Drosophila melanogaster: one gene and its partners. Changing the gene in region 3 together with the main gene of any one other region gives a genetic interaction. Each region holds a gene or a part of one and is shown on either strand. Other genes may lie near its edges.

Region 1 (11,926 bases), on a different chromosome or scaffold from region 3:
TCGGCGGCACCGAATTCCTCATGGACGAGTGGAAGGTGGATGTGGCGTACACGGGTTCGCAGAAATCGCTCGGTGGTCCCGCCGGTCTAACGCCCATTTCGTTCAGCAAGCGTGCTTTGACCCGCATCCGAAAGCGAAAGACCAAGCCGAAGGTTTACTACTTCGATATCCTGCTGATTGGTCAGTACTGGGGTTGCTATGGCACACCCCGCATCTACCACCACACCATATCCTCCACCCTGCTCTACGGATTGCGTGAGGCACTGGCCCACTTTTGTGCCGTCGGCCTCAAGGCGGTGGTGCGTCGCCATCAGGAGTGCTCCAAGCGACTGCAGTTGGGCATCGAGGAGCTGGGTCTTGAGATGTTTGTGTCGCGCGAGGAGGAGCGTTTGCCCACGGTGAACACGATTAAGGTGCCCTTCGGCGTCGACTGGAAAAAGGTGGCCGAGTACGCCATGCGCAAGTGAGTATTGTACAACTGGACGCGAATCCTCGATAGAGATCCGTATTGAATCCTTTCTTTTTTTCCAGGTACAGCGTTGAGATTAGCGGTGGTCTGGGTCCCACGGTGGAGCACGTCTTCCGTATCGGTTTAATGGGCGAAAACGCTACCGTGGAGCGCGTGGACATGGTGCTCAGCATCCTGAACGAGGCCATTCAGAGCAGCAAGCTGGGGATCAAGACGGATCTATCGAAAATCTAACAAATCGTTGCCCTGCTCCTATCACTAGTTATAAAATAAAAACAAATATGGAAAACTAAATGTACTTCCTTTTGTCTTTTGTTCGCTAAATGTTTGAAACATATGGCATGTGAAATTTGTTGTCATCTAGAGAGAAATGGTACAAAGAAGCGGAAGTTGGCCAAATTCAATTCAAGAAGACTTCTCTTTCTCACAGGCACAACTTCCCGATTGGCGGAAAACAAAGTGAGTGATGGGCATGGATACATCTTAGATTTATTGAATCCAAGCCGACGCCAAATCATCGACTCATCCAAAAGCACTCTCACAGGCACTTAGATTAAAAAAAAAAAAAACAAAAAAAATTGTACACTTAAAAGTTTATTAGTTATCAAATTCAGTGAGCATGGCCCAACTAATTTCATCCATGTGTACTTAAAAGTCTCCACCATCGGACCGGACCGGCTTCAGATTGAATCAACCCTGCTTCTGGGCAAGCTCGCGTGCCTTGGCGCGCTCCAGCTTAGAGATGCGGGCCAGACTCTTGGAGCCAAGGATACCACCGCCCCAGTGGCGACGGATCTCCTCGTGGCGCTCGTTGAAGTTGGTCTTCACAGCCTCCAGGACCTTGCCGAAGTTGGCCTTGTCGTTGTTATCGACGGTGGTCAGGGCGAGGGTGGTGCAGGTCTTGCGACGCACCAGGCGACCCAGACGAGCCTTACCCTTCACAATGCAGTAGGGCACGCCCATCTTGCGGCACAGGGCGGGCAGGAAGAGCACCAGCTGGAATGGAAATTAACGCGTTAATCAATTGTCGTCTTGGAAAACCACGTGGTTCGTGGGCTTGCGCATTGTATGCAATCAAGTTGCCCTCAATTCTTCAAATGTTAACTTTATCTTTGGCTTAGTTATTAGATCTAGTTGTTAGCTCTTCAACTAATTCAAAGATAAACCAAGGATTTAGCAATCCTTAACAAAGAATTAAGGCGTCAGGAGTCAAATTTCTACATGGCAGCAACCCACTCCGCCGGAGCAGGATAACCTGCTAGCCGCCGGAAGCGAGAAGCCTTGAGTTGAAGAAATTTTTTCATCATCGCAACGTGATTGAGAACCATGTATATTTGCAAATTTGCAAATATTTGGATGATGTGCAAGCTTTGAGCTGCGACAATTGAGTCAAACTAACCTCCAGAGGATCAACATCGTGGGCAATGACCACCAGTTGGGCCTTCTTCTGCTCGATCAGCTTGGTCACCGTGTTGGTACCGGCGGACACATAGCTGGGCTTCTTCTTGGGCTCCACATCCTTGCCCTTGGCCTTAGCCTCGGCGATCTTCTTCAGGCGCAGCTTCTTGGCCAGCGGCGACTCGGGGCGGTACTTCTCCAGCAGCTTGAACAGCTTCACGGCGGTGGTCTTGTCCAGAGTCTGGCTGAACTGGTGGATTGGTGGTGGGACCTTCAGGCGCTTCTGGAGCACAGCCTTTTGACGCTGCACCCGGATGTATTTGGGCCAGCGAACGAAACGGGACAGATCGCGCTTGGGCTGCACATTCTGGCCTGCAAAGTGAGAGAATATGTATACATTTAGCTAATATGTAAGAAATTCCGCTGCAATATTCATATATATAGAATATGTTTTGTGCACTTACCGATTCCGAAGTTCTTGGGACGCTTCTCGAACAGCTGGTTAACAACCTTCTTGACCACGGGCTTCTTGACAGCCAGAGGAGCGGGAGCCACCTTCTTGGTCACTGGCTTCTTCTTTGGCCTGGGCTGTAAACGCAATGAAAACACGCATTAGGTTAATTCGAGTTAACAGCAAATTTACGCCGATAACTCACCTTCTTGACAACCATTTTCAAGCGGTTTTAAAGTTTGCTACCGAAATAAGCAGTTGCTAAAAAAGAATTAGCACATTAATACGTTTTAAACTTGGTAAAGTTAATGGGAAAACACGCAAAACTTCGGCGACCAGCAAAACACGTGCATGAAAAATGTAAGTACGGAAAGAAAAAAAAAACCATGTTGCTTGCGTGTGTGTGTGTGTGTGTGTGTGATAATTGGGTATAAACAACACACGTTTTTTCGCAGATTTTCCGAAGAAATCTACTCCGTTTTCATTAAATTGAAGAAATATTACTTTCATTTTGATAACTTTGAAGTTTTAAGGTTTCTTTAACAACACTTCTACACACACACTCCATACACCTGCACCAACACATGCACAAAAACATGCCGCAACGCACATTTTTGTTCAAATGGGTTGGAATTTGGCAATTTCACTACAAAAAAAAAAAAGGTTTTCGGAGTATACTGCGTACTTCACGTGTTGTTTACACTTTGTTCTTTTAAGTGGCACATTTAAATCCGGCTTTGGAAGCCCACAGAAAAAAAATTATACAAAAAATTTGGTTTTGCACACATTTTCGCCGGCCGCGTAGTTTTTGGGTGAATTTCTGGAATTGTGAGCTTTACCTGTGATAAGCACGACCACGAACGTATCGAAATACTCGCTGAAAGTAAATAAAATATTGGTTTTTAGCACAAAATTCAGGACTGCTCGCTAGGCACATGCACTCACCGGAAACGTGGAACGAAAAAGAAAGGAAGTGGCAGTTCCAATGTTGGAAATCGAGTAGATTCGATCTGACCGTGCCACATTTGCACCGAAACGCCAAAAGAAGCGATATACCGAGGTGAGAGGCTATGCTTATTCTTAGCAGAGACTCGCTCCATTTATGTTTTAAAAATTTTAAGGTACATCAGATAAGTTAAAAAACAATGTTATTTAAGCGTAACTTCTTTTTTAATAGGCCAGCGCTTGAAAACGAATCAAATCGTGGTCAGAATACCTTTCGTTTAAATAAAAATAATATATCTAACATTCCATCCTATCTAGGACATACACCACAAATGTGATCGTTACAGCAAAGACATGCTCAAATTATGAATTTCTTAAAAGTGACCGATTTGTATTACCGAAAATCTTGAAAAGAAATACTAAATAGAAAGAAACTTTGGAAGCAGCCAGTGTTGGAGGTCGCGTTGCTTAAGAAAAGTAGCTTAAACTTGCCAAAGTAAATAAAAAATATTGAAATTAATATCAAGTAAAATCATTGCAAGTTCTTATTTTTTTCATTTCAATATAGAATTCAATTACACATATATTAATTGATTAATTAACAAGCTAAAAATAGTATCTGTTTATATTCAAGTGCAAGAAAAGAAAATAAAAAATATTAAACATTTAGCTAGATCTAGCTAGCAACCAGTTATGCCAACCCTGAAACTACCGAATCCAACTGGTGGCTGCAGATGCAGTGCGGTATTTTCATCCGGCCTTATTTAGCCATTTTCCGCTGTTGTCTCTCATTAAATCGCTGTCCAACAATAAAAATTTCTCGCCTGCGCTTGCGCTAAATGCTAGAAAAACTGTTTTTACCATCAAACGTGAATTCTTAAGCTGCGCCTAAACGAAACCGAGTGACTAAAGAACCAGAACGAAAACTTCGGGAAAATGGAAGCCAGGGAAAATCAGGGATAACTAACGCTGGCAGCGGGTCCACCATTTTTAATTTCTTTGTTTATTTTGTGCCCATCTTCGCGAGCGAGCGAGATAGCGCGACAGCAACAGCAAGAGAGAGCGAGAGAGAGAGAGTGAGTGAGTGAGAGCTAGTGAAGAGAGCGCAGGAGGAGTTGGATATGGAAATGGGCATGGATATGGCAATGGGCTCACTCCACGGATAACGGATCAACTGCAAGCAATGGCCAGCAGCGCCGGAAGTGCGGCATCCGGATCCGTTGTTCCCGGTGGCGGAGGTAGCGCCGCCTCCAGTTGTGCCACCATGGCCCTGTCCACCGCCGGATCCGGTGGGCCGCCCGTGAACCACGCCCACGCCGTCTGCGTGTGGGAGTTCGAGTCGCGCGGCAAGTGGCTGCCCTATTCGCCGGCGGTGTCGCAGCACTTGGAACGCGCCCACGCCAAGAAACTGACGCGCGTCATGCTGAGCGATGCGGATCCCAGCCTGGAGCAGTACTACGTCAACGTGCGCACAATGACCCAGGAATCGGAGGCGGAAACGGCCGGCTCCGGCCTGCTGACCATCGGTGTTCGGCGCATGTTCTACGCACCCAGCTCGCCGGCGGGCAAGGGCACCAAGTGGGAGTGGTCGGGCGGCAGTGCCGATAGCAACAACGACTGGCGGCCCTACAACATGCACGTCCAGTGCATCATCGAGGACGCCTGGGCGAGGGTGAGTGCCGTGCAGAATCGAATGTTTTCCCATTGGCAGTCTAGTTGGAATTTTGAGTTGCTCAGGAATTTTTTTATCGGGAGAATATATGGGGAATCTTAAAAGAGTGTGGGTTTACCACTGATCCTGAAGAATTGGCTAAGGATGCACCAGTCTGTGATGTGTCCATAGGTGTTTAAATAGTACATATAAGCCAAATTCCACAGTTCACATCTCAGCCAAAAAACGTAGTAGATCGAAGAAGTGTACCTTTTTGAATTTCTGATGCTTAGACAAATAAATCTGCATTTAAATTTTTTAGCTAAAATCAAATTAATTTTTTTTTCAAAAATTTCCATTTTTGCAACCTCAAAATGGGACAAAAAAATTGAAAAAAAATTTAATTTTCACTTTTGTAAAAGTTTGAATACAGAAACTTTCTGCTTTAAAAATAATGACTATTAAAATCATTCGCACTTAAATCGCTGGAGTTTTGGCTGAGTTATGGTATTATGATCAAATTTTAGGGGCTATATAAATTTATTCTTCTTCTTGCACAAAGTCCAACTGCAACCGCATATCAATCAATCAATATCATCAATTATAGATTGTAACATAACTTATTCCTACTCCCTTGCAGGGCGAACAAACCTTGGACCTGTGCAACACCCACATCGGCCTGCCGTACACCATTAACTTTTGCAATCTCACCCAGCTGCGCCAACCCAGCGGACCCATGCGCAGCATTCGGCGTACCCAACAGGCGCCGTATCCCTTGGTGAAACTAACGCCACAACAGGCCAACCAACTCAAGTCGAATTCCGCCAGCGTGAGCAGCCAGTACAACACTCTACCCAAACTGGGAGACACCAAGAGCCTGCACAGAGTGCCCATGACCAGGCAACAGCACCCATTGCCCACCAGCCATCAAGTGCAGCAGCAGCAGCATCAGCACCAGCATCAACAGCAGCAGCAGCAGCAACATCATCACCAGCATCAGCAACAACAGCATCAGCAACAGCAGCAACATCAGATGCAGCACCATCAAATCCATCATCAGACGGCGCCCAGGAAGCCGCCCAAGAAGCACAGCGAGATCTCCACCACCAATCTACGCCAGATACTCAACAACCTAAACATCTTCAGCAGCAGCACTAAGCACCAATCGAACATGTCGACGGCGGCCAGTGCCAGTTCATCCTCCTCATCGGCCTCGCTGCACCATGCCAACCATCTGTCGCATGCGCACTTTTCGCACGCCAAGAACATGCTGACTGCCTCGATGAACAGTCATCATAGTCGCTGCTCGGAGGGATCGCTGCAGTCGCAAAGGAGCAGCCGGATGGGCTCGCATCGCTCGAGATCGCGTACGCGGACCTCGGACACGGACACGAACAGTGTGAAATCGCATCGGCGGAGACCCAGTGTGGACACTGTGTCCACTTACCTCAGCCACGAGAGCAAGGAGAGCCTGCGCAGCAGGAACTTTGCCATTTCGGTCAATGATCTGCTGGACTGCTCGCTTGGCAGCGATGAAGTTTTTGTGCCCTCGCTGCCGCCATCGTCGCTGGGCGAAAGGGCGCCGGTGCCGCCGCCATTACCACTGCATCCGCGACAGCAACAGCAGCAGCAACAACAGCAACAGCAGCTGCAGATGCAACAGCAGCAACAGGCGCAGCAGCAGCAGCAGCAATCAATCGCCGGTTCGATTGTGGGCGTGGACCCGGCCAGCGATATGATATCGCGTTTTGTCAAGGTGGTGGAGCCACCGCTGTGGCCCAATGCCCAGCCCTGTCCCATGTGCATGGAGGAGCTGGTGCACTCCGCCCAGAATCCGGCCATTTCGCTGAGTCGCTGCCAGCATCTCATGCATTTGCAGTGCCTCAATGGGATGATAATTGCCCAGCAAAACGAAATGAACAAGGTGAGCACGCGAAAGCGATGCCAATTAGAAAGAGAAAGTTTATTTAAATTTCATTCCCCTAGAACCTTTTCATCGAGTGCCCTGTATGCGGCATCGTTTACGGCGAGAAGGTTGGCAATCAGCCCATTGGCAGCATGTCGTGGAGCATAATCAGCAAGAATCTGCCAGGACACGAGGGTCAGAACACCATACAGATTGTTTACGAGTAAGTGTGAATGTGCCTGTGGCCACTGAGCAATCAACTATAATCACTCTTTTTCATTTGCATGGCAGCATTGCATCGGGACTGCAGACGGAGGAGCATCCGCATCCGGGTCGTGCCTTCTTCGCCGTGGGATTTCCGCGGATCTGCTACTTGCCGGACTGCCCGCTGGGGCGAAAAGTGCTGCGCTTCCTCAAGATTGCATTCGATCGTCGGCTGCTTTTCTCGATCGGACGATCGGTGACCACCGGACGCGAGGATGTGGTGATCTGGAACAGTGTGGATCACAAGACGCAGTTCAATATGTTTCCGGATCCCACCTATTTGCAACGAACCATGCAACAGCTGGTGCACCTGGGCGTGACGGATTAAGGATTAGTTCCCTGTCCCCGAGTAGAACTACCAACCAACCAATCAACCAACCACCCACCCACCGAAGTCCCCTCGATCATTCTCTTCCATTCGTCGTTAAGTTACTTTCTACATAATCTCAGTGTGTGTGCAATCCTCGTTTACTATGATATATTTTTTTTATAGATATATTGTAATAGCGTTCGAGCTGCTCGAACCCTAAAACAACAGCAAACCACAATTGCAATTGTAGCTTCCTTTCCGCTCTTCCAATTCGTATTTGTACGCACATACGCAATAAGTTGGCGTACATCATATGTATTAGCTAGTTAGTTAGTTAGTTAGTTGTAGCTGTAGTTCCCAAGAGAATCTTGACCCAAGACACCTACTAGTATTAGGCATTATCCTGATTCTTGATTCCTGATTCGATTCAAGCCAAGCCAAGCCACGCCATTCGAGTGCAAGCTGTGCCAAAATCGTAGCGCTCCCGTTTATAGGATATGTATATTGTTGATATAGCTAGCTATAACCATTGCCCATCTCTCCATCTCTCTCGGTTTCGAATTTGTCTCTTTCATCAGATCCATGTGAATTTTCTTTATATCGGATTTATATAGGATTAAAATAGTATTTTGAGAGAGGAAATGGAGATGGGTAAATTCGATAGACTTGTCTCACTTGTCTTGGCCATTTAATCTCTTTCATTCAGCGAATTTGATGTGATTTTAATTTGAATTATTCATTATTAAACGGAGCATTTAGGAAGCATAGTTGTAACGCAGCCAGATATTCCATTACGCATATACATATACATATACATATACATACATACATAAACATATTTTAACATAGCCCCATAGCCATACGACATAACAATAATTTTTTTTATCGAATCCCTTGCATACATTTGATGAATTGTTGCTTTCATATTGATATCATCGAGCATCGAACGAACTATCGTATACATCGCCAATATATAGCATATATAGCATATAGTATGTAGAGATCGTACGGACAGCTAGCGGCTACTGACCGCGCCACCATATTTGATATATGATATGATATGATTTTACTAAGTTGTATTTAGCACTGATTAGTTATTAAAGTTCATTGCGAATATTCCACAACAAATTCCACACCATTTATGTATGCATATTACGCATATATAATACAGTACATTTATATATAGTTCAAATAAAGTAACTTTCATTCATGTTCAAATTAAGTCTTTCTTTTGGGATATTTATTCACTCATGTCTAAAAGGAAATCTTTCTTTTTGGACTTTTTCACTTATGTATGTATGTTCGAATGAGTTCTTTCTTTTGGGACTTTTTTCTTTATGCCTCTTATGTTATATTATTCACTCAATTGTGCCATGCTGCTTGTAAACTAATTACCAGCACAAGCTTAAATTCCAATTAGGTGGCTCTATGGCATTGTTGCATTGTTGCCAGTTTCTTACCAATGCGGTGCAATTCAAATCAATCAGTTGACATTTTTGGAACTTCCAAGGTTTAGCTGTTTTCAGTTTTCGGTTTTCGTTTTCAGTCTACGCCGCCGTGAATCACTTAAAATAAATTAATAAAAGACAAAAAATCCGATGCATTTTTTTTTTTTTGTCATTGTGCAGTGCAGCGAGTGCGTGATGTGTTGGTGATGTTGGATATGCTGGTGATGTTGGCGATGCTCTGGTGAAGTTGCTCCGGGCCATTTAAGGCGCAGCGGCAACAAGTTGAAGACGTGTTGTCGTTGTCGCCATGTCGCCTCTTCAACTGCCTACGTGCTGACGTCAGGCAGGCGCAAGGACAGTGTCCAAAAGTGGACAATATATATATAGCGTGGCCCAGAGCGGCTTTCACTGCTCCTCCTCCAAGGGCGGCCAATCATTCGGCCGCAGCTGTTCTTGTTGCAAGTCGTTAGTTTGGCATTAGCAGCACTTGGCCAAGTCTACGATGTGAAAGGATCGAGGAGCAACTGAAAGTTGTAGATTTCTCTGGCTTTGGGCCTGCTTCATATCTATGGATCATCAAGTGATCATTAGATATTGGGATATAGATACAACTCTTTTCAGCTTGAGCACTCTGGTCAGGTATCCTAAAAATAGATGCCTCTCCTGCTGATGCGGCTGTTTTCCTTGTGCCAGTTGCATAAGCAAATGTTTTCCTAGAATTTACAGCATTTCATGCAATCTTTATGCGATTTTATGCGACTGACAATGATCGCTGATCGTTGACATTCAACACACGCAACACGACAACGCGGCAGACAGAGCGCGATATATGCGAAGCGTGTGGCGTGGAAAGAGAGGGGTGACAACAAGTGCGTATTGATGATGAGATCGCTAATAAGGTGGTTTTGGCCAAAATAAACAAGCCTGCTCCACTGACCCTGTGACATTCGCCTTTTGTTTAATTGTTTTTTTTTTTGTCCTCAGCCTCGTCCTGACCATTTTCATGTTTTGTGACAGACACCAGCGATAAGGCCATTCGAACTGGTCTTCTTTTTCAGGTTCTACATCTATATCCATCTAGAAGAAAAGGCCTTAATCCTTAACTCTAACATCAGATATCTCAACTGAAATATATGGCAAACACACACAGTTTTGATGGTAAAAAACAGCTATTATATTGGCTCATAACCCAAAAACCACTTAAGTTTTAAGTTGCACAAGCCAATTGTATTGTATAACATGATAAAAGAAAAATTTTCCAATTCACGCGAGAAATCCATATTGGATTGCCATGGCAAAGTCTCATAAGAAAAATATGCAAAGGGTTTGGCAGGCATTGACTTTGTTCCTGTTTATGTTCTTGTCTTTATCTTTGTGTTCTTGTTCCTGTCTTTCCACTACACTCGTATATACCCCTCCCATTTGCGCACCCAGTGGTCATTAGTCATGCAAATGAGCTGGGATTATCAAGTTTTGTCGCTCTCTCGCTCGCTCTCACTTTCCTTATCGCTCAGGATCAGCTGACGCTGAGAGATATGCATGTTGCATGCACTCGCAAAAATAGTTCATAAAAAGAGCAGCTTAAGAAATGGACACTTTCGACCTGAAGGCAACTTCTTTGTTTTTTCAATAACCACTCGTATCCCAAATTTCATATCAATAAGATGGTGTTTAATATAATCACAGCTATTATTAAGATCCTAAGATCCTATACAATTTGCGTATCTAGAACGCCACAAAGTATGCTATGCTTGCTGCAAGCCACATTAAGTCTCAGTTTTTCACTCCCTTCTCTCTGGATATGCTGGACATACTTCCTAGTTGTGATCATGTTTTTCCCCAAGTGTAGAGAGCGTTGCAGTGGCAGTGGCGTCGACGCCGCCGCTTTGGGCCGCCGAGAGAGCCCGCGCCTAAATGCGGCAACAACAGCGGCTTGCAATCAGTCAAGAGCCTCCGCTCGTGCCAACCGCATCATTCGCCACGCCCCTCAGCCCTCCGCCTCCTTTGGCTTGCCGCACAAACCCAACATCAAAACTCACTCGCTGTTGCATTCGAAAAATAAAAAAAAAATTTTTAAAGTGTTTACGCGTTTAATTTTTTTTTTTGACTGTTTTGTTGCAGGACACTGCAACACTTCGTGCTTTATTTTTTTGTGAAATAATTAGTATTTGTTTTAAGGTGAAACCCGACTCCTTCGCGTTATTAGTCGCGTGTGACAGCAGCAACATCCAGCAAATAAACCGCAAATCAATCAAACAATCGGCAGAGTTGAAATAAAACAAAAAAAAAACAAAGTAGCGCCCGCGTTTTTAACCGCGCGCAAGTCGCTGGCAACTTTTCGCCGGAAAGGCAGGCGCAACTTGATCTTTCCGTAAATTAAACTATTTACTGTTTAAATATTTGTCAAGTACACAAAAATACATACGTTGCTGCTCGTTGTTGCGTCGTCTAAAGTTACAAAAGCCTTCAAGTCGACGTCTTTCTCTGATAATAAGCTCAAAAAACAGCAGCAGCAACAGGTGGGTACAATTGCACAGGTACTACAGATATGTAAGATATATATATAGTTATATATATATACATATATATATTGGGCGGAAGATTGACTACAATGTTTGGTGGAGGAATTCTAACAGTTTTGCGGTGATTTCTGCGGTTTTCTTGCCGCCTGGCGCCACCTAGCGGCGAATACTATGCTCATGGGAGGCACTGATTAAAAAAAAGTTTAAAGTCTAAACTTATTAAATAATATCAAAAAAAGAAACTTTAAGATGCTTAGGCTATTTTCATGGTATCATGCATTAAATCATGTATTTTATTGCCTGGCTTTGAATTTGCCCATTTTACGCTTATGCTTATTTTACTCGCCATAAATCTTGACTTACAAAAAAAAAAAAAAAAAAACACGGAGTGATTTTCGATAATAAAACGTTTTTTAATTGACCAACAGCAAAATATGACGGTTTCGTTTCGCCGTTTTGGTAATTCATGAATTTTATGCGATCGCCAATCGGCATTCTTAGGGCATTGGCCACACGCCAACCCACGCGATTTGTATAAGATACGGATTGTGCTAAAAAAAAA
Region 2 (10,836 bases), on a different chromosome or scaffold from region 3:
TGTGGATGGTAGTCGCGTTAAGAGGTACTAATAGCGTTGCTTGGTAATCTGTTCATAGACGCCTCTCCGCGGACGAGTTGAATGTGCTTCTGCCCACGCTTAATGCTCCCAAGTTCCTGCCTCCTAATGATTTGAAAGGGCCATGCTATGCGGGTATCTGCTTGCCTAAGAACGTTCTGGACCTGTTTCCGACGCGTAACCTCAGTCGAACGTACGTTTCGCGGGATATCCAGGACCAAGATATAGTGGGCATAAATCTGCTGAACACCATGCTACGGCCACAGTGTCTCAATGACTCACTCACCAATGAGGGCGGCGACGAGTCATCGGTTATATCATCGCTGTCGGACGTCTCGTCTGCAAGTCGGCGACAAACACGACAATTGCAGCAAGGCGCCAAGCACTCGCGAAGTCTGTGTCTCCATTGTGCCCGCTCCCCGCGACAGCAGCGTAATGACAGCGGCAGCCATAGTAATGGTGGAGGAGGCGCATCCCTCGCTCCCTGCGAGCTGTACAGCAGTGCAGCAGCAGCTCTGGTGGCAGCCGGCATCCAGGCTGGACCAGTTTTGGCTAAAAAGAGTGGCTCATCTGCCCAAGGAGCTTCAGCGGCACTTGGCGCCGACATCAGCTTCCATTCCCCAGAGAGCATGCTGAGCGAGGATAGCCTGCCGGACAGGCTTACGGCCTCCATTCTGTACAACGTGCAGCGTCTGGCCAATCCCGTTAGTGCCAAGCAGTCGAAAATGGCTCTGTTGGAGCTTAAGCAGAAACACCCGCACGCCTTTCAGGTGAGACTCATTTGAAATCCAAATGATGGTTCGTACTTACCACGTTTTTATCTCTAGGATATTTGCCTTTATTCGGAGGCCTGCAAAACGATAGGCCGGAGTAGCTATCGGATGATAGCCCGCCGCTTCCTGCAGGAGCTCTTTCTGGACCTTAATTTTGACTCGTTCTACGTGGAGCCTCAGCTCATAATCGGGGCACGTAAGTTTTCCGCTGAGGAAAAAGCAGAGGCCACGGCCCCCACGGCAATGCAGGCCATGCCGTTTAAGCAAACGATTCTCAAGCCTAAACCGGCGGCCCAACTGGCTAGCGTTTATGAGACTAGTTGGGAGAACCTGCTGATGGACCAGTCGCCACGGATAAACAAGTCATCGCCTGCCGATCAACCGGCCAATGCTCAAACGAAAGCAAAGGCCCGGAACCAGCTGCACATTGACGATACGGAGAGTTCGTTGTCCAGTACCGATGGCGAAAATGATTCCGGTGAGGATGTTTGCGACGGCAGTGGAGCCGGCACCCAGGCCAGCTCGGTGACCACCGCTCATACAGCCCTGCCCACAGGAAACAGCAATCGTAGCAGCATTGGCACATGCACAGCAAGCCAGCTGGTGCCAGGTGCGGCAACTTCAAACTCCGCTGGTGCTGGGACAAGCGCATCTGATAATGCTAGTACAAGTCTAAAGAATGAAAACCGGCAATTCACACGCGGACGATTCTATACGCTGGAGCTCGATTTGAGCTGCACCAAGAACAAGTTTCCCATCAAGAATCGCAGCCAGCGAACACCAACGCCTCCACCAATCGAAAGTTTAATCGAGTCCAAGCCCACGGTTCAGACAGATGTGAATACAAGTGCGCTGCCAATTATGCAGCGGACCGGTGGCAGCAATGACTCCTCGTCAGCCCTAAGATATTCCACTGTGACCAAGAGCTTGTCGGCATCGATGGCCAGGCCGGTGGGCAGCCTGTACTGCGAGAAGCGCTTGCAGAGCTCCAAATCGGAAGCGGTCCTCGATGAGGTGGCGAAGGCGAGAAGAGCATCCGGTGGTGTGGGACTGACAACTGTGCGTGACAACTCCTAGACGCACTGGCGGAAGATCAATTGAAGTAGCCCAATGGGGACGCACTGCCTACTCTTACATCTCGTTTACTGGCCGCCCGCCTTCCTAAACCGAAACCAATCGGATAAATGTAATATATCAAATCAAAGAACATGTAGCTACGTAGATTAAGGCAATCCGTACTATAGGATTTAAGTTATTTTCGACTAGTTTGTTAAAATTAAAGTTATTACCATAGTTACTTTTACGATCACCACTTATGCATAGTTATTTTTAAAGAAATTCATAACCGTAAGCAGGAAACCAACAAACGACAAAAATCCCAAAAAATAATATATAATTTTCTTATGTAGCGTGTACCAACATATTTTATAGAAGCAGATCGAAAGCAAATTGGATAATTGCCTTGAAGCAACAAGAAACAACCACAAACCACCGCAATTTATTTAATTAATGTACTTAAAACTAAAAGAGACCCAGTGGCAGGCGAAAGCAAAAAGACCACACAAACCTTAAACCAAGAAATTATCATTATTGTTGAAAACAAAGCAAGAAGCATACCGTGAATCGTTCACAATCACTTTAAAACCAAAATGAAATGAAATCAATAAACTATAAAAATTGAAAAAGTTAAACCCAGCAAGTGCTATTTACTTAAAATCGTATGGAAAGATAACAATCTTCTTAGGGGCTGACTAGATTTAAGGTCGATTTATTTAGTTTGTTTTTTAATTGAAATTGGCTAAGCAATCGTATTGGTTGAGTCATGCAATTGAAATTGTTGGAACTATGCATACAATATTTTGTATATGTTTAGTTTAGGAGACTGTAGGAATTTCGTAGTAAGCTCTATTTTTTCACTATTCTTGTATATAAATGCACATAATGATCTTAGGTATAATGATCTTAGGTAGTGGTAGTACATAGCAATGTGTGTGCCCAGCGGACGGGGGAACCATGTCCATCTCGGATCGAACGTGGCTCCTCCACGTCCAACTGCCTGACATTCGAGTATAGTGGGAAAAGTGAGTTTCATTTCATTTCATTTCATTTGAATTGAATTGGAGTGAGGAACCGTATTGTTTGAGTGCGGACTTTTCAGGTTGCGCACTTCGTTGAATTTGTCTCCTGATAAAGCTACAATTAATTGAGCACTAACTTTATGTGTGTGTGTATATACTATATATAAGTACAATTATATGTATCAAAAATGCAATCAACAATATCAGTCCGTTGCCGTGGCCAGCAACAACAATATCTCCTATTCTCAAACTCCATTCATTTCACGCCCGCTGAAACGGAAATTGATACCAGATATTAGGGATTAGGGCTTAGGGATAGTCAAGCATACTCCAATGGGGATGGATGTGATATGTAAATTGAGCAGATCAGTGAAGGTGCCTAGCCTCTGGCCAATCCAATCCATTTCGGTACTAGCCTTGCACGTATCCCAGTTCCGTCTACTCACCCAGCCGTGGATCCTATGGCCAGGCGAAGTTGATGCCCGTCAGCTGGTAGAACTTGTTGTTGAAGGGCCGGTAGAACTCCCGGAGGCGCTCGATGGCCCCGGGATCTATGTGCGGATGGTTGCGCCCCTTGGTCTTACCCAGACAGTGGGGCGTGGAGCGTGCCTCCGACTTGAAGAGGCAGGGGAAGCCCTTGGTGGCATTGAAGTAGAAGTGCTTCTCGGTGACCACGCGCTTCAGACCGAGGAAGTCCTGTACGCGTCCAATCTCGTAGGCGGGATCCATGATCAGCCGCTCGCCGCTGATGAAGAGCAGCTGCGAGAGCGGAAAGTAGAGCAGCCAGCGCTCCAGATAGCGTGCATAGACGCCGATCTTCACCGGGCCCCAGTTGGTGTCCACCACCGAGTAGCTACCGTTGACGAAGGCCAGCTGCTCGAAGAGCTTCATGTCCGCCTTCTTGCTCGCCGCCTGTGTGTAGTCGGAGATGGCCCGCGTCACCGGATCCCGCACCACAATCAGTAATCTACGGGCGTATAAAATTGAGGTTAAGTGAAGATATGCTAGTGATTGATGGTCCAGATACGTAGGGTTAATGTAAAACGCATAATGCATTTAGAATATAATGTTAATCCCTTCTATGTTGATCAAATCGAATGTTGTATTCCGAAAACCATTTCACTTAAGGTGCTTAAAAGTATGATAAAACCTAAAACAAGTTCTAAAGTCTTGTGTATAAAGCACATATTTAAAAGGACTCAATATTTAAGGGATATCCGCCTTAAAAATCTCAGCTAAGCGTTTGAAACACTTTTATTATATAGTATGCTACGATTTACGTACGGTTTCAATATTTAAGGGATATCAAATCGGCCTTAAAAAGTATCTCTCTTCAATTTTCAACACTTCTATTATAGGTGCTAAAAAGTATGCTATGACTAAATACAGTCTTGTGGATAAAGTGCAGTATTCTAAAAATATCATTTTTAAGAATTGACCGTTTTTAAGTTCTATCAAATCTGATGGAGTAACAATTTACGATTATGATCACAATAGGTTTGATGTAGAAAAGCTCACTTTGTTGCCGGATTCATGTGGTAGACGCGCTGCGGCACCTCCTTGGTGACGAAGTAGCTGGGCGTCTTCTCCATGGTGATCTGGCCCTCGATAGTGTACGGCATGTGGTGGCGGTACCAGCGTAGTCCCCGCTGGTAGTGCCTGTCGAAGAAGTGCACCTCCGAACCGGCGGCCCGCACGTCCGGATGCAGGCGGATGAACTCGAGCAGCGCCCGCGTCCCGCTCTTCTTCACGCCAATGATGAGCGTGTCGGGCAGGTGGCGCGATGGTCGGAGCCCCTGCTGACGGAGCAGCTGATACTTGGGCGCCCCATCCAGGCTGCTAGTAACCGTCTGTGCCGGCGGAGCACCGGTGGTGGATGAGCTGTTCCTGCTGCTGCTGCTGTTGCTGCTGCTGCTGTTGGCGGCGTTATTGGTCTCGTTGCGGGGCGAGGAGGTCAGCGCCAGTAGATTGCGTAAGTTGCTCTGCGCGGGAGAGGTCAGAGGTCAATGCCACACATCGTGCGAAACATATCAACATATTGGCTTATGAAAATGCCCAACTTGTAAGTATGCCGAAAAGTATGCAACTATAAATGTACATATATATAATCGTATATATGTATGTAGATAGCATCGCAAAGTTCAGCGAAAGACAAAACTTAAACTTTTCACAGCACACTTTTGGACAGCTTGTTAAATGTTTTGAAACCGCTGGGGATTATTACAACCCCCCCCCCCCCCCTAATTTTGAGTTGGCTCCACTTTACACATGTGTGTAGCGAAACTTTATATTCGATTTTCCAATTATCAGTTTGTTTTCATGAATAAATGCATTGGATATTGGATACATTTAGCCCCTACACTTAGACATTGTCCAGTGATTCGTGGACATATTCACCTGCTGCAGACTGCGACTGATGCTGGCCAGGAGGCAGGCATTGAAGCTGTAGGAGAAGTAGACCAGAGTCACGCAGATCACCAGGGCGATGGCCAGGCTGCGGCTGCTCAGGCTGAGGCTGCTGCACCAGATGCTCATCACAATCATGGCTGGCTGGGCGCTAGTGGCTGCCGTGTCTCGCATCTGGCGGTATAATCGGTTCCGAGCGCTCCGTCAAATTCCATTGCCACTCAGTCGCCCCGGAGCACTGCCTGCAGCATCCGGATTCCGATTGTGATTTGCAATCGCAGCAGCGGCTGGCGGCTACCGCCAACGCGAAGTCAACTGAAGGAATGGGGCTGTTCGCAACGCTGGAGCTGCTGGTAGTTGCTGGTGGTTGCTGCTGCTGTTAGGTGGCTGGTGGGTGGTTGGTGTGGTTGGGGTGGTGCTGGCGCTACGAGTTCGGCCTGCAAGTGCCGGAGCTGTCGTCGCAGCCGAGTTGCGGAAGTGAAAGCCAGGGATAAGGCAGGGCCAAGACATTGGGGTGCCCTGCCAGCGGATAAGCGCTGCCTGGGCCGCCGGTTCGGCTCCGTTTGTGCAGGATGACAGGATGGGTGGGGGAAGCGGCCGTGTCATGGTTGCGCCTGGGAAGCGCACAGGCGCATTGGACACATCCTCTCTCGTCTCGGGACGCTTATGCAACTGAGCGTTTTGCTTGCTCTCTCGCCAGCTCGTCGAATCGCCGTTGGTGTGACGTCGCAAATGTACACTGCCCGAAAGAAGTGCCAAGTCTTGAATGTAGCAGATAATTAATGTAGTGACAGCTTGCTATCACATCATGTCTTTAAGAAAGAAAGCAGACATATATAGTTAAATCAAAAGATACTAAAATCTGAAGAATTTCCGCTTTGTGAGGGTTTGACGAAATCTTTGCTTTCTACACAAATCAAATCTTAATAAATAAGTATTTCACTTAAGTTAGTAATTAATTTCCAAGTCTGATAAAGTTATATTTATATTAAGCAATAATAATAGACATTATTGATTTGTTAATTTCTAACTTCACAACGAATACATGATAAAATGTACTCCAAAAACGCAATCGTTAAGTAGTATTTCTAATATTTTTTATTATTTCTAAAAATGTATATATGTATATAGTTTGTTATGTAGGCTGGGAATGCCATCTTAATATTTATTCGACCATAATCTTTTCGTATACGGCCTTTTATTTTCTTACTTCCTGTCGCAACTCTCTCTCTCTCTCTTTTTTGCTCTCGGCTTCAATCAATTTTCCGCTCAAAGGTAAACAAACTAACCAAGAACTTACCCCCACCCACTTTGGCAACCAACCACCCACCCACAACCCAACCACCCCATTTGCGTCTGATAAAGTACTTGCTGGCATTTAATATTGGATTGAAATCAATTTACCAAGCATTATCGCCGGACGTTCTATTGCCCGTACTCCTATCACCATTAGCCATTTGAGATTAGTTTTAAGCCCTATCGTTGGAATGGCCCAATGGCCTTTGCCACATTGTTTTCTTATGCATATGAAAGGCCAAAAAATTGTACGTTTCCGTGGCAGCGTGGTAAATAGTAGGGGCCCTCAGTTGGGCCAACTGCCAAGGAGCTTATCAACCGGCGGACATCTGTTTATCTGTCCAAGTGGCTTATTCCACTGCGGCATTAGTCACTCACTTTGGGATACACTGGCGAAAAAAGCGCCAGGAAATTCGATCATATAAATTGGGGTAAAAATATTTACATAAAATGGGAAATATAGTACTTCGAGTAATGCCATAGATAGATACTTGCTCAAAAAAAGATACATTCAGGTACAAAAAAAAACATTGATCTATAACCAACGAATTTCTCCACAAGATGCGCAACATAATCGGATTTCCTTTTGACTATCATAATTCATGAACCCGAGCGGAGAAATGGCTAGATAATCCCAAACCCTCAACTTTTCCGCCCGTGTATCCATGGCCACCACACACATGCACCTGGTCGGGTCGGGTTGGCTTATCTTATCGCCTTATCTGCGCCGCCTTCGTCGCAGTCGAATTCTCCGCCGGACTTCCACCGGCCCATTTGCCATTTGTCCGGCGTCGCATCGTAGGCATCTCCATTCCAGCTGCTCGCTAAAATGCTCTAAGCTCCTTCGATAGACGAACCTTCCTCTCCCTGCTGCTGGACTAACTAACGCAAATCTATCGCAAAAATGTCGAATGTGTGGGGCAAACTGGTGCTGAAGTTCTTTAAATATGCGCCCAGCTATGTGGGTGAGTTAGCCACGCCAATGGAGATCCTTGTCCAGAGATTACGTCTCATTCACTTCCAGTCTGCCTGTGCTTCCTGCCCTGCGGCATGATCTTTGGCTATACGATCTGCGCCTTTGTTGCGGAGCGGAACCTCAACGCTGGACTCATTCACTATGGACCATTGATTCTGGGCGCCTGCTGGGCGTTGATCACTGCCCTGGCCATGCTGACGGTCAAGTTCGTGAAGAAGTGCATCGTCTACTGGCAGCCATGGCTGCTCCTGGCAGCCGGAGTCTTTAATCTCATAGGCAGCTGCTTCTACTTTGCCGATGGATTTGGTGAGTCATTTCTATGGGCTATTAATTCGCTTCGAAAGGCTTGTGAAAAGTAAATCAATCTGTATCTATATGGCTGGAACTGGGATGTTCTACATATAAGTTTTGAAATAGATTTCAGTTAACAATACTTGAATTTATTTCCCAATAGAGAGAGAGAGAGAGGCAAAGTGATTTGCAATCTGAAAATGATTCGATCTCGATCTGAGTATGTTGAGCATGATTCAATCTTGGCTAGATTTTGAAATCTATATTCTTAAATCAATATCGTTAAGAAATGTTTTGAATGTATGATTTCAGCGAGTTTTTCCAATTCCTTAATCCCACTATTATTATCACTTCAGACCACGTCGGAGCCTATATATCGTACTTGGCGCACAGCATGACCTTCGTGGCCGGCTATAGCTTCCTGCTCACGATCAGCTCCAAGGGCAGCAGGTCGCTGTTCCTCTCGGGCAGCTGCAGCTGCTACCTGCTGGGCGTGGCGTCCGCCGTCAGCCTGATCGTGGCCTCCTACAGCCGGAATGTAAAGGAGCTGGCCGGACAGACGGTGACCACGGAGCAACTGATCGATGGCATCTATGTAAACTTCGCCGGCACCTACTTGAGTGTGGCGGCCGCCGTGTTGGCCATTCTGGTGGGCCAGAAGGTGCTCCACTTTCTGGGCACCGTCGACCTGGTGAACAGCATGGACAACGACCTGCGGATCGCCAACTCGAATGGCAGCATCTTCGAGCAGCGATCGGAGGTCATCAAGCGACTGCAGTTCTTCTACGTGACCAAGAACCAGCAGTGGAACATAATGCTACTGCTCCTCTTCACGGAGGCCGTGCAGTTCGCCCTGTTCGTGTACTTTGTCTACTGGTTTGCCCTTAATCCGGCCATCCGGCTGACAGAGTTCTCCGGCATCGACGGCATGTTCTGGGTGATCTTTGCGGGCAGCCTGCTGGCCCTCATCTGCCAGTGGTTCCTGTCGGTGAAGGTCACCTTTGTGGGCTCGCAGGTGGCCCTCATCTCCTTCACTCTGCTGGCCATGATCCTCTGCAGCGTTACGGACTCCAGGTGGTCGCTCTGGCTGCTCCTTGTGCTCTTTGGCCTGTCGTACTCGCAGCAGCAGATTCTCCTGCTGGAGGTCACCCATCTGCGCTTCACCGAATGCATCATATGCATCTCGTATGTGCTCAAGTTGATCTGCACCAGCATCGTGTACTTCTACTTTGTGGCGGATGCGAAGAACTCCTACTTCTATGCCACCGACTCGAGCACTCTGATGGCCCAGGGATTCGTCTTTCTCATCATCACCTCGCTGCTGGCACTCGTGGTGGGCATGAAGGTGCCCCGGACGCATCGCGCCCAGCTGCTGGAGATCCAGTACGAGGTGTACGGCATCATCTTTATGAAGCACCAGATCGAGCAGCTCAACGTCCGTTGGCTGAACGACGGCACCATTCCCACCATCAACCAGTGAGCCCGAATTTGAGCTTAGGTCCCCGAGCTGTACACACACACTTTCTTATCTTATCACAAATACTCAGTATTTAATGAATCGAAAATAAAAAGACTTCTCAGTCTTTATCCACATACAATTGGTGACAACAGAAATAGGAGCCTGAGTTGAAGAAGCTATAAATTTCGTCTATATATCAAGGCATATAAACGACTTAAGAATATTAAATATAGAACTATAACTGCTTAAGTCAAATTCTTTGGAAATTAGATACAAAACTTCTGATATACACATTTTCATATGATCCGCCTAAAAGGTTTTGCAGTTGTATCTTTATCATCATTAAAGAGCTGTAAATTCTTTTCCAATTTTCCAAACAATCCCAATAGAGATACAATCAAGGCCTTAAGTGGGTTCCAGATAGTGGGTGTTTGTTTACGTGGTGTAGGTTTATTTTAGGACTAAAACTAGCGTCTTATGGAGATAATCTGGACGGCGGCGGTGTGATCGCGACAAAAGTGGCTGGCACAGGCCGATACGTTCGCACATGGAGTCACCTTGTAGCCACTGTCACCTGGAGGATAATATGCTTAGTTATGCGGGCGTTCCCCATCTGGAGATATGACATGACTCACCCAGCTGGGTCATGAACTTGTGCAGCGTGTCCACATTCCGCACCGTGCTGGCCAGCAGGGTTTCCAGTCCACCTCCGCGTCGGGAGTACAAATAGTCCATGGCACCCAGCAGTGCATCGAACTGGGAATCATCGTAGATCACATCGGCGGCTATCAAAAGATCCGTTTTAGCATGCGAATCCCAGGGGAACTCACTGACCGCAGCCCAGTTTAGCTGCTCCGCCTGGGGCATCTGCTCCTTGGGCGTGTCTGGAAAATTCAGGCTGATATTCTCGCGCATTAGCTGGACGCAGGGTTCACTGCCATCGGTCAGCAGGACCTGGCCCACTTGCAGCTGCAGGGCCGGTAGTTTCAGCATGATTCCCAGCAGCCCGGCACCGGCTCCCAACTCCACTATGTTCTTGCCACGCACCAGGTCGCGGTGCTGCAGGAGGTAATCGCCGAGGGCCAGAGCCGCTTCCCAGGTGCACAATCCCGTTGTGCCCTCGGCCACGAAGCTGGTGGACTCACGGAGCGTGATGTGGGCGCCCGGTTCGAGGAGATAATGTTTGTAGGCGTACGTGGATGACCCTGTGCTCGCTTCGTTCTCCGCCACCGGACCGCACAAGCTGCTGTATATATCGTCGTGCAGATCTTCCTGATCTCCGAGCAGGAGTAGCAGGTGCTTGAGGAAGGCCTCCAGGTAGCTGCGACGCACAGGATAGCACTGGTTCATCGGGTGGCCACAGGTGGCCGCTAACAGCTCCTGCTGATCCTCCCAGCTGAGGGGCAGCGTGACCGACTGCAATGGACACCAAATCGATTCAACAGGTGGCCGGGTCATAATGTATCACATGGATTACTCACCGACCAGGCCATCTTGTTCACCGGATAGCAACAGAGGAACTGCTGCTGCAGCTTGCCG
Region 3 (9,630 bases):
CTTGCAAATCTGACATGCTCCAGGATCCGTTATTAGGGTGCATGGCAAATGCGTAGGACCAACGGTGAGAAGGACAATGAATGCCCCGAGGAGCCTGCCAGCTGCACGTCCTGCCACCTTCGATGCACACGAAAAACGCGTTCGCCTGTCTTTCGTCATTATTTGCCCTCCTGCAGGCTGGTCGATCGGATATGGTGCATAGGCATAGGGACGAATGGAGCTGCAACTGTTGCAGCGAGGTCCTTTGGCCTGCCCATTAATATGGTTCGGCCAAGTGGCTGAAAGCCGAAATCCGAAAACCGAAATCTGTTGATTGCAGCGGGGGAGGGGGAGTAGCCCGCAACGACAGCTGTGAAGTCACAAAGGGCTCTAGGAAGTCGCCCCTCTTTTCCTCTCTTCTCCACTACTTCTCTCCCTTCTGCTCCGATGTGTCCTTGTGCTCGCTGTCCTGGTGCTACGTTTAGCTCCGCTTGCGGGATGTTGATGTATCTGGTAGATATATCTGTATCTGCATCTGAGTCTGCAGCTGTCGCAGCCGGTTCGATGCTTCTACGCTTCGTCTCACTAGCATGTTTTCTTTTTGTATGAAATACTCATGGTTTAGAAGGGTTGGGGGTGCAAAATATTGTTTTAAACTATTTTTGGGCTATGAAAGCAACACGGAATCACTTCTATTTAGACTTGAATGAATTCCATTTCACCAACCCAATAAGCAATATATTTATTTTAGATCCTTTGTTGTAGGATATCTACCAATTATGGCATTGCTATATATGTTTTAAATATAATTCATGAAGTACTAAATAAGACTTAATAGGACCAATTTAGGGTATCACATGGTCCATTCACATTCCAGCTCAGTGCAACTGCTTTTTGATTGCCTTATGGTGGTCAATGGCAGCATTAGCCCTCATTCGGTTGATGGCTTCTAGGGATTGTTTTTATGGTCTGTCAATGTGTGCTTTCCCCTGCATCCTTGCCGCCTCTTTCTCCTTCCTTTCCATTCACTCTCTCCGCGAAGAGCGTGCGAATGCAATGACAAGGAGACCACAAACAGCGCTGGTGCGTTGGTGTTGCCAAGAAAAAGCCACCGAAGTGGATGGCTAAAACGGAGGCAGCCGTGCAGCAACAGCCTTGAGTGATAGCAAAAGTATCTGCGAGTGTGAGTGTCTGACGCTGTGTTCGTGTGTATCTGTGTGCTGTGGCCAGAGTGTGTGTGTGTGTGTGATCAGCGGAGCATGCAGGCAACATGCCACACCACGCCAATGGCTACAAGTCCCAAAGTTGATGAAACAACACGTAGCGAAGCCTTGGCACAGCAGCAACACCAGCCGCTGCAACAGTAAAAAGGAAAAAAGGGAACAATAGCGGCAGCAGCAGCAGCAACAGCGGCAGATTAAATCAGGTAGGAAATTTTCGTTCGAGTGGTAAATTTTTTGCACCTGCCGTTAGCGGCCTCAGCCGGTTTGGAAGTCTTCTTTCAGTGCTTCCTGACTGCTTGACTGACTGGACGGCCGGCCGGCCAACTTACCTCAGCTGTTGCAGCCGTTGTCATTCAGATGATTAGTGCTCAGTTTGGAACTGCGCCTGCGCAGCGTTCTTGTCGATCGTTGTTTTTTGGCCAGATACTTTCAAAAGGCACAAAACTGTCGCCTGGTCTGGAAATGTATCGCGTGCGTGGTTGCGTGCTCCTTGGTTGCATGCCGCATAAGCGGAACCTGTCCTCGGCTCAGGCACTCATCTCGTATGCACACTGGGCAGAATCAACAATGCCTTAAGCCAACTTGATGAGCCCTCATCATTTGCCTGGCCAGAAAGGCCACGAACTGGTCAATGTGCAGATAAGAGACACCTGCTCCCGCATTCCGGCATTGATTGTTGAATCCAATTTCGTATACTCATTAAAATAAATGTGTTTTAAAGTGAGTTGAATTACTAGAGACGCATTTTTCGATTCCACTCACTTTTGGAATCTGTATGAAGATTATTTGTTTATAAATTGTTAAATATAATATATATTTATATATTATATATATATATATTTATATTATTATATATAAATTGCTAAAATATTTAAATTATATATAAGTTTAGTGTACAAGGAGTAATAATTCATATGGTTTAGTAGGCAATACTATAACAATAACTATTTTACCATTAATGATTTATGAGCAGTAGTGCCAACCTTATATTTTATTCTGCAGCCAGGTGTTACAACCCAGTTGGTTATTACATAAAGTGATTTGTTTTTAGTATAAGTGCAATTGGAAAGAACAATGCTGGTGGCCCATCAAATCGTATAGAGTACCTGCTTTTAGCACCTGCACGAGACCTCAAAAGAGCCTTCAATGGGAAGCACCCGTTGAAATCCCCATCGAATATGAGTGGAATGAAATTTGAACTCCATTCGAGTCGTGCCACGCTCACATTTAATACCAATTCAGGGAGTGAACTGGAGAGGACCGACAGACTTTCCAGGCCATTACCTTAATATGCTGACCATAACGTGAGCCATTCGCTGCCATTTCCAGCCACATTTCCCTGCATAAAAGCCAACAATATAACGGGCGACAATGAAACAAATGCTCAGTGGGGTGGTGGCATGGACACGAGGGCAAATGGTCGGCTAGTGGGGGTTGGGAGAGTGCCATGCAAATGGCGGTAGCCACCACTCCCAGGTGCAATGCCCCATCCCACAATGCACTTGTCGTGTGCAACAAGCTAGAACAGAATGACAACAAACAAAGGCATCAAATTAAAAACTAAACTGCGTCCACTCAAAATATGCAAACAGTACGGCCGGATGGCAAGGGCAAGTTGTATGTCCCATGCATGTGGCATGGATGTGCATGTGGCCACCGCTTGATTATGCAGCCACATCCATTGATGATGGCCACCACAAAGGGGCTGGCCAGCAGCTCCGGCTTGTTCTCTGCCTTCTCTGACCAACGTTCGCTGCCAGCACTACATTAAAAAGTAAAACCGAAAACGACATCGAAATAATAGGTAGTGCGCAATTGGGAGACCCGAAGATGGGAATACACTTGGATACCTTCAATATGCCCTTACCTTAATTGTTAGGCGATAATTGGAGAACATACTTTAATTGTTAATAATAATAACTAATGTACGCAGCTTCTACAGCTTCTAACTAAGAACGAGTTAAGATTTTTCGATGAATAAATAATAAATGAAATTATTGCTGGTTTGAGCTATTACTTTCTGTTGTAAAATGCCATTTATTTCAGCAGTTTTCTAGTAATATATACTAAAATTATAGATTATAAGACACATATATTGTTCTAGTTGACCAAATGCACGTTTGCCATTGCAAAACTCCTTGCAAGGGTATGAAAATATGGCAAATTGCAACACAGCTTCGGCAAGTGCCAACAATGGCAGACTGTTGCACCCCCTTGCAGTCGTTACTCTTGCCCCCCCCCCGCTTTTCCACCAATTTCCCTCCCTTTGCTCAGCCAAGCGCACATTCCATTCAGCTGACCCCGGAACCTGCCTCACCCCTTGTATATTTATGGATGGAACAAAAATAGTAAAATGCATAGCTTACAGCGCTTTTTTTCGGTGCGTAAGGCGGCATTTTTGGCATATTTTTTGCACACATTTTCCCCACTTTCGATGGGCCCCCTACCATTTTTTTTTGGAGCCATGTTGCAACATTGCAGTTAGTGGGCTTACGACCACCCATTCGATTGCACGCCTGCTCCTTTTTTGCCTGTGACTTTTGCAGCCGCATTCCAACTTTGCACTTTAAAACCTTTTCCGGCTTTTATCAGCGAATCGCGTGGGTGGGTGGTCGTGGGAGATTTATATAGAAATAGATTTATATAGAGATCTCCCACCAACTGTGCACTAAAAACAAATGTCCCGAAAAGCGGCAGATCTAAAGGGATTTCGGTCTGGAATGCAGGCAATAGTTGAGCCATTAGTATCTGATTTCCTATCAAGGTATTTGCTTCGAACATCCTTATTGTTTGGAATCAGGAAATCTTGTTCCCCCAGGTAACTACGAGGAATTCCAAAGACAATAGAGAGTTTCGCTGCTGCAGTTTCTTTTGTGCGCCTATGGGCTGTCCTTCCTCCTTGCAACTACCCGTACTCGGGACATTTGGCTCCGTCTGGTTTTTGTTCGTCTTGCAGTATATCTAGCACATCAGCATGTTTTCGCACTTCGCCTTCTGTCTGCCTGCCTGCCTATGGGGCCGAAACATCTGCCGTTTTCGTTGCAGTTTGTTTTCGTTGTAGTCTCACCGCAACCGCGCCATGTGTCAGGAGCAGGATGAGTGCAAAAAAGAAGCACCGGGTAACTAGACCGCCATTTTGTGTTGCTCTCGTTCGCTATCTGAAACTCCGAATGGTAACTGCTGCCTTAAAGACATGATCTTTGGTAATAGCAAACATTTCAAAGGACATTTTTCGGGCATCTAACATCGAGTTTATTCATTGATTTTCTCTTAACTTGATGCGTTCTCTTTGTCGCTCTCTTTCCTGCTTGTTGCATGCTTCGGGCAGGTGGCTGCTCTCTTCGGCACTCTTCCCCGGCAATTCCCCCGCTTAATTTACCATTGCCTTTACCGCAACTTCGTACTCGTCTGCTCTCTCGCTTTAGCCGAAGCGTGCCGAACGAAGCCGAGCATTCGGCATGGCAGCGAATAAAAGGAAGTGCCGAAGACGCGCCGCTTCAGTCCTTCGAAGAACGCCGCGCTGAAAACATCCTTCCATTGGAAGGTGCTCTAGTGAAATCGGTGATATACTTCATCCAGTGCTGCGAGCGAACTTTCCGTGGACCAAAAGTGAAAAGAACAGCTAAGCCAAGCAACAAGGATTAAGCCCGAGGAAACGCCTGGAATAATTGTAGCATTGTTTGCCAGCGCCTTTTTATAAGGTGTTTGACTGTCACGGCGCCGGAAAGTCAAGGAGAATTGTTTGTGTGTCGGCATGCGTGCCAGTTATTTGCATAAATTGCCCATCTAACTCGAGTTCCCTTTTTTGTGCGGTGTGAATGAGAGATTGGCAAACATTCCCGGACCTCCAAAAAAAGAAAGTTTCGCGTGACCATTTAAATTGCCCTGCAACAATGGCAGGTTCAAACGTTTTGTGGCCAATACTCCTGGCCGTGGTGCTGCTCCAAATATCCGTGGCATTCGTGAGTGGAGCGGCCAGTGGTGGGGTAGTCCTTAGCGACGTGAACAACATGTTGCGCGATGCCAAGGTGGTGACCTCGGAGAAACCCGTTGTGCACTCAAAACAGGAAACGGAAGCGCCGGAATCCAGCGTGGAGCTGCTCCGCTTCGTCGATGATGACGAGGATAGCGAGGACATCAGCTCCATTGAACGGCAGGATGGCAGGACAATGGAGAGCAAAAAAATGGCCGATCAGGTGCGCCTGTTGACCAAGCAGCTCAACGCCCTGATGCTGCGGCGCCGCGAGGATTACGAGATGCTGGAGCACAATCTGCGCAAATCCCTGCGGCTCACCACGAATGCGAACAGCGTGGACGCCGACATGCGCAGCGAACTGAACCAACTCAGGTAAGCTGGCCAGGCTTAACCCACCTGCTCTAAATCGAATTTGAATTTTTAATTTGCGCCGCGCACAGACACAGACCCGCTCCATTGGTCAATGTCTCGCTGGCAATTTGTGGGCCTAGAAACTTGGCGCTAACTTTCCCGCAGTCACGTAGAACTTGTCGCCCAACTTTGGCCAACAAATTGATGGCCCTCTAAAGCGGGCAACAGTTTGTAAACAGGGTGAAAAATATATCTTTCTTATTTAAGAGTCTAGTTTTAGTGTTAGATTTAATGCATTTAAATTAAGTTGGACATACAAATTTGTATACGTATGATAAGGTAACTGCGGGGCATGATACGAATCATGGTTAGTTGCTATATTTTGTCCTAGCACTCCTTTCACTTTAAGATAGCTATGATAGTTAGTCATTTCCACCCTTTAAAGTATTCACGCAATATGTCCATTTGCTTCGCAATCACTTGCCTTGACTAATAGGTATATGATAGTTGGCACACTCCTTCCTATCCAGCGTTCTCTCATGCTATATCACTGTTTTTCCCATCTTCCCTTGACACGGCGCTTGCAATTATTTACGACTGTTGTGACAGCGAAAACTTCAGTTTTTCCCTCCATTTTGCGAATCCTTCAACTTTTTCATTCGAGGCCAGTGCAATGAAGAATAGAATTCCTATGCGGCACATGATTGTGCTCCACTAATTCAGACAAATATGTGATGGGGAAAAACGCAGGAAGCGGCAGGATAAGACATCTAATCAGAGCAAAGACACGAGCCAGTGGCCCAGCCCAAGTTTGCGTAGCATTCGTGATTTGTTTTGTTGTCATTGTCATGGGCTGACTAATAATGATTGTCTCATCGAGCTGAACGCACACACATATATCAGTTTCGCCAGTGCCACTACCGGACTCTACCCACTACCACTCGGAATACCATCTTCTGTGGCAGCGTAAAAAAATACGTAAAAATGGCACACTCTTAATTTACTGAACAAATAGCCAAGGTTAGACCGTTGTTGTTGCTGTCGTGGACATCGTAAACTTTGTCAGTGACACCGTAAATAATTCAGCACACGCTCGTGTTTATACACTCCATATACATATGAGGAGTGTGTTTTGCAAAAGGGACTTGTCCGTGGAGATGGTGTGCTGGAGCTGGGGATGGAGCTACCAACTCCCAAGGCAAACGCCAGTCAAACGTCATGTCAGTTGTGGTTTATGTGATCCACTATCTCCGCCGCCCACACAAAACCGACCACATTACGTACCTTCGACCGACATTCACGCCCACTTACCGCCCAATTTCCACCCACCGCCCATCTGGATCAGCTTTAGCCGCAGTCCGCTCAGTCGGGCAACATCATTATCTGATTGAGCTGAATAGCGTGTTGGGCAGGTCCACTCTGTTGATTTGATAACAAGATTCGCTTCCAAAAGTTACACCGCTGCGTCCAATTTGGTAATTAAACTGGAAAAAAATCAGAAAATCCAGATGCGAACACCATCAGACGTCATCAAATCAGGTCCGATGAAGTTCGGCATTTGCAGTGTTCATGTTGCGTTTTCAATTTGCTCGCTTGTCATTGACAGCATTTTCAATTTTCCGTTGAATGACAGTCAGTGTTTTTTTTTTTTTTTTTTTTTTTTGGACGGAAAAAGCTGGTACGGCAGCCAAGCGAAAAATTGCCAGGCGAAAAGGGAAATTCGGTTGGTTTGGCATTACTACAAAAGTTGCCAATGGGCAGGGTTAGGAACTGTTATTTTTTTAGGGCTAGTAATGCAAGTTTTTCAGCTCCGTGCTAAAGAACACATTTTTATTCTATTTGGCATACCAAATCTTTGGCTATATGTGTACATGTGGAGTTTTGGGCTTCCGGCAGTGCTGGGTGGTCAGTTACGGCTTTTGATGTCCCAACTTTTGCAAGACCCCCGACCTGTTTTAATTAAATATTTAAGTAATTGTGTGGAAAACGGAGAGCCCAACAAATCCATAACTTTTCATAGTCTGTCTGGATGGGGCCACAAAAACTTTTGCAAGCCATAAAATTAACAAAAAACGCCCACGCACAATGCAACAATTTGAAATATTACGTATACGCTGGCTGGCATGAATAAAAACCTAACCGAATGTGATGTATGTATATGTACATCCACCACCAGTCAGGAGATGGGGAACACAACTTTTCTTTGGACCACTTTATTTTTGTCTTGTTGCCGGTTGGGTTTTTTCTTTATGAAAATTTCATGTAGCTGTGCTCTTTTGACAGTGAAAAATAAAAGTACAGCGGCAGCTGCTCTGCTTCTCCTTCTTCTTCTTCGGCTGCTGCTGCCTTTCGAAAAACAAAACTTTTTACCTACGCTCCGAATTTGTTCAGCTTCTTGCGGCTGTGCTTCCGTTTCCGCTTCCTTCCAACTGACTACTTTAATTGTCTGAAATGCCACAAAAATGCGTTTCGTTCGGTCTTGGTCTCATTTCGCTCTTATTTTTTGGTAGCTGGCAACTGCCACAAGTGCTACAACATTTTCATTTTCATTCTCAGCATTTAAACAACGTTTTCACCCAGCACTTGTTGTTTGCGGTCTGTTCGCACTTGATTTTTTATTTTGAATGTTTTCCGGCAAACTTTGCCATCGCCATTTGTGAATTTCTGTCCGCTGTCCGCTTTTCCTGATTTCTGTGATTTCCGTTTGTCGACAATGTTTGGGGCTGGTGAAATAATCTCGCAGAGCTTAAATTAAACGCTCGATGGAAATTTAGCGGTATCGAGGTGGGGCTGCAGCATGATTGAGTGCAGGTCAAAATCCCATTAGTGGACCGCACGCCAGCCGCATTGGCAATTAAGTTAGCCGACAGCCTGAAAATGTCAATTTAAATTAGATTTCCTGGCCAGAGTGTAGCAATTAAAGCATTACCTGCCCCCTGCTAATTAGAGACCTATTAAATTTTTTTTTCCTTTTCAGGGAGGAGCTGGCCGCGCTGCGCTCCTCGCAGAGTGGCAACAAGGAGCGCTTGACCGTCGAGTGGCTGCAGCAGACGATCTCCGAGATCCGCAAACAGCTGGTGGATCTGCAAAGGACGGCCAGCAACGTGGCCCAGGATGTCCAGCAGCGCAGCTCCACCTTTGAGGATCTGGCCACCATTCGCAGTGACTATCAGCAGCTTAAGCTAGATCTGGCCGCTCAGCGCGAGCGCCAGCAGCAGACGGAGGTCTACGTCCAGGAACTGCGCGAGGAGATGCTCCAGCAGGAGCAGGACTTCCAGCATGCCCTCGTCAAGCTGCAGCAGAGGACTCGCAAGGACGGCTCATCCGCCAGTGTGGAGGAGGAGAGCGGTAGCCAGGAAGCCAACCAGGAGGTGAGTACCTGCTTTATGCTAATCATCAGATAAGCACGCGACGGCCAAGGTAAAGCAGTCGTGCACTGGCAAAAATACTAAATGATTCCGTGTTTATTGTTACTTAAATGTGTAGGTTGAAAAGGATATACATACATATCTGTTTCTCCCAGTGTATCCTTTTATGACTCCCGAAAGAAAGCCGCTGGTTTGTTTTCTTTCTCCTTTAAGTGCGTCCCATAAAGCGGCCACCAACGTGGCGGGCCATTATCTGGCCGTTTTATGCCTTACTTTATACGCCAAACCCTCCGCCAGGTGAAGAGCGAGCGCTAAAGGTTGTGACAGATAGGAGGTTGGAGGTGGGTGGTGGGCGTTGGGCGTTGGGCGGCACGATGTGCTAACGAGTGGGTCCAAAATCGCAATCCGCCTTTTACCCCGCCGTTTTAACGGCCCGCCACACACACACACACACATGTTGGCCAAATTACTCATACGCACCGCAGGACGTTGTCGTATTTAATATTTAATGCCAGACTCGACCGTCCCTGGCAGCCACTTAGGCCTCACGTTCAATGCCTTAATCTCCTCCTGGGCCCCCGGGCGACTTATAAAGAGATTGCTGCAAATGATGGAGCCATGATCAGTGGCATCCTTTCGTCAAAATCCGAGCATACTTACTGGGGCTCTCATGTTGGGCTTACAGTGAATGATGTGGAGTTCTCGAAATCGGATCTGCATATGAAGGACTCGG

The links.
Region 1: of sca (region 3) and dx, changing one enhances a phenotype caused by changing the other (phenotypic enhancement), as found in Drosophila melanogaster (one study listed by BioGRID).
Region 2: of sca (region 3) and Hs3st-B, changing one enhances a phenotype caused by changing the other (phenotypic enhancement), as found in Drosophila melanogaster (one study listed by BioGRID).

What each region holds. Positions count from the first base shown.
Region 1 is NC_004354.4:6,529,967-6,541,892, forward strand, and holds dx (deltex), read left to right. Parts: upstream 1-4,032; 5' UTR 4,033-4,446; coding exon 4,447-4,935; intron 4,936-5,554; coding exon 5,555-6,838; intron 6,839-6,900; coding exon 6,901-7,043; intron 7,044-7,111; coding exon 7,112-7,412; 3' UTR 7,413-8,609; downstream 8,610-11,926. Other genes in the region: Agxt (Alanine-glyoxylate aminotransferase), read left to right, coding at 1-463, 532-703; RpL7A (ribosomal protein L7A), read right to left, coding at 1,160-1,465, 1,869-2,239, 2,332-2,455, 2,524-2,538.
Region 2 is NC_004354.4:19,243,754-19,254,589, reverse strand, and holds Hs3st-B (heparan sulfate 3-O sulfotransferase-B), read right to left. Parts: upstream 5,952-10,836; 5' UTR 5,450-5,951; coding exon 5,267-5,449; intron 4,852-5,266; coding exon 4,388-4,851; intron 3,837-4,387; coding exon 3,329-3,836; 3' UTR 3,316-3,328; exon of another isoform or gene 3,140-3,315; 3' UTR 2,545-3,139; downstream 1-2,544. Other genes in the region: rictor (rapamycin-insensitive companion of Tor), read left to right, coding at 59-788, 846-1,868; CG7992 (uncharacterized protein), read left to right, coding at 7,476-7,536, 7,596-7,853, 8,195-9,318; CG7889 (uncharacterized protein), read right to left, coding at 9,765-9,871, 9,933-10,713, 10,779-10,836.
Region 3 is NT_033778.4:12,775,843-12,785,472, forward strand, and holds the start of sca (scabrous), read left to right. Parts: upstream 1-4,698; 5' UTR 4,699-5,020; coding exon 5,021-5,550; intron 5,551-7,768; exon of another isoform or gene 7,769-8,400; intron 8,401-8,458; exon of another isoform or gene 8,459-8,506; coding exon 8,507-8,900; exon of another isoform or gene 8,901-8,977; intron 8,978-9,035; exon of another isoform or gene 9,036-9,498; intron 9,499-9,557; exon of another isoform or gene 9,558-9,630. UniProt on the Drosophila melanogaster protein: Involved in regulation of neurogenesis. May encode a lateral inhibitor of R8 differentiation. In conjunction with Gp150, promotes Notch activation in response to Delta by regulating acquisition of insensitivity to Delta in a subset of cells.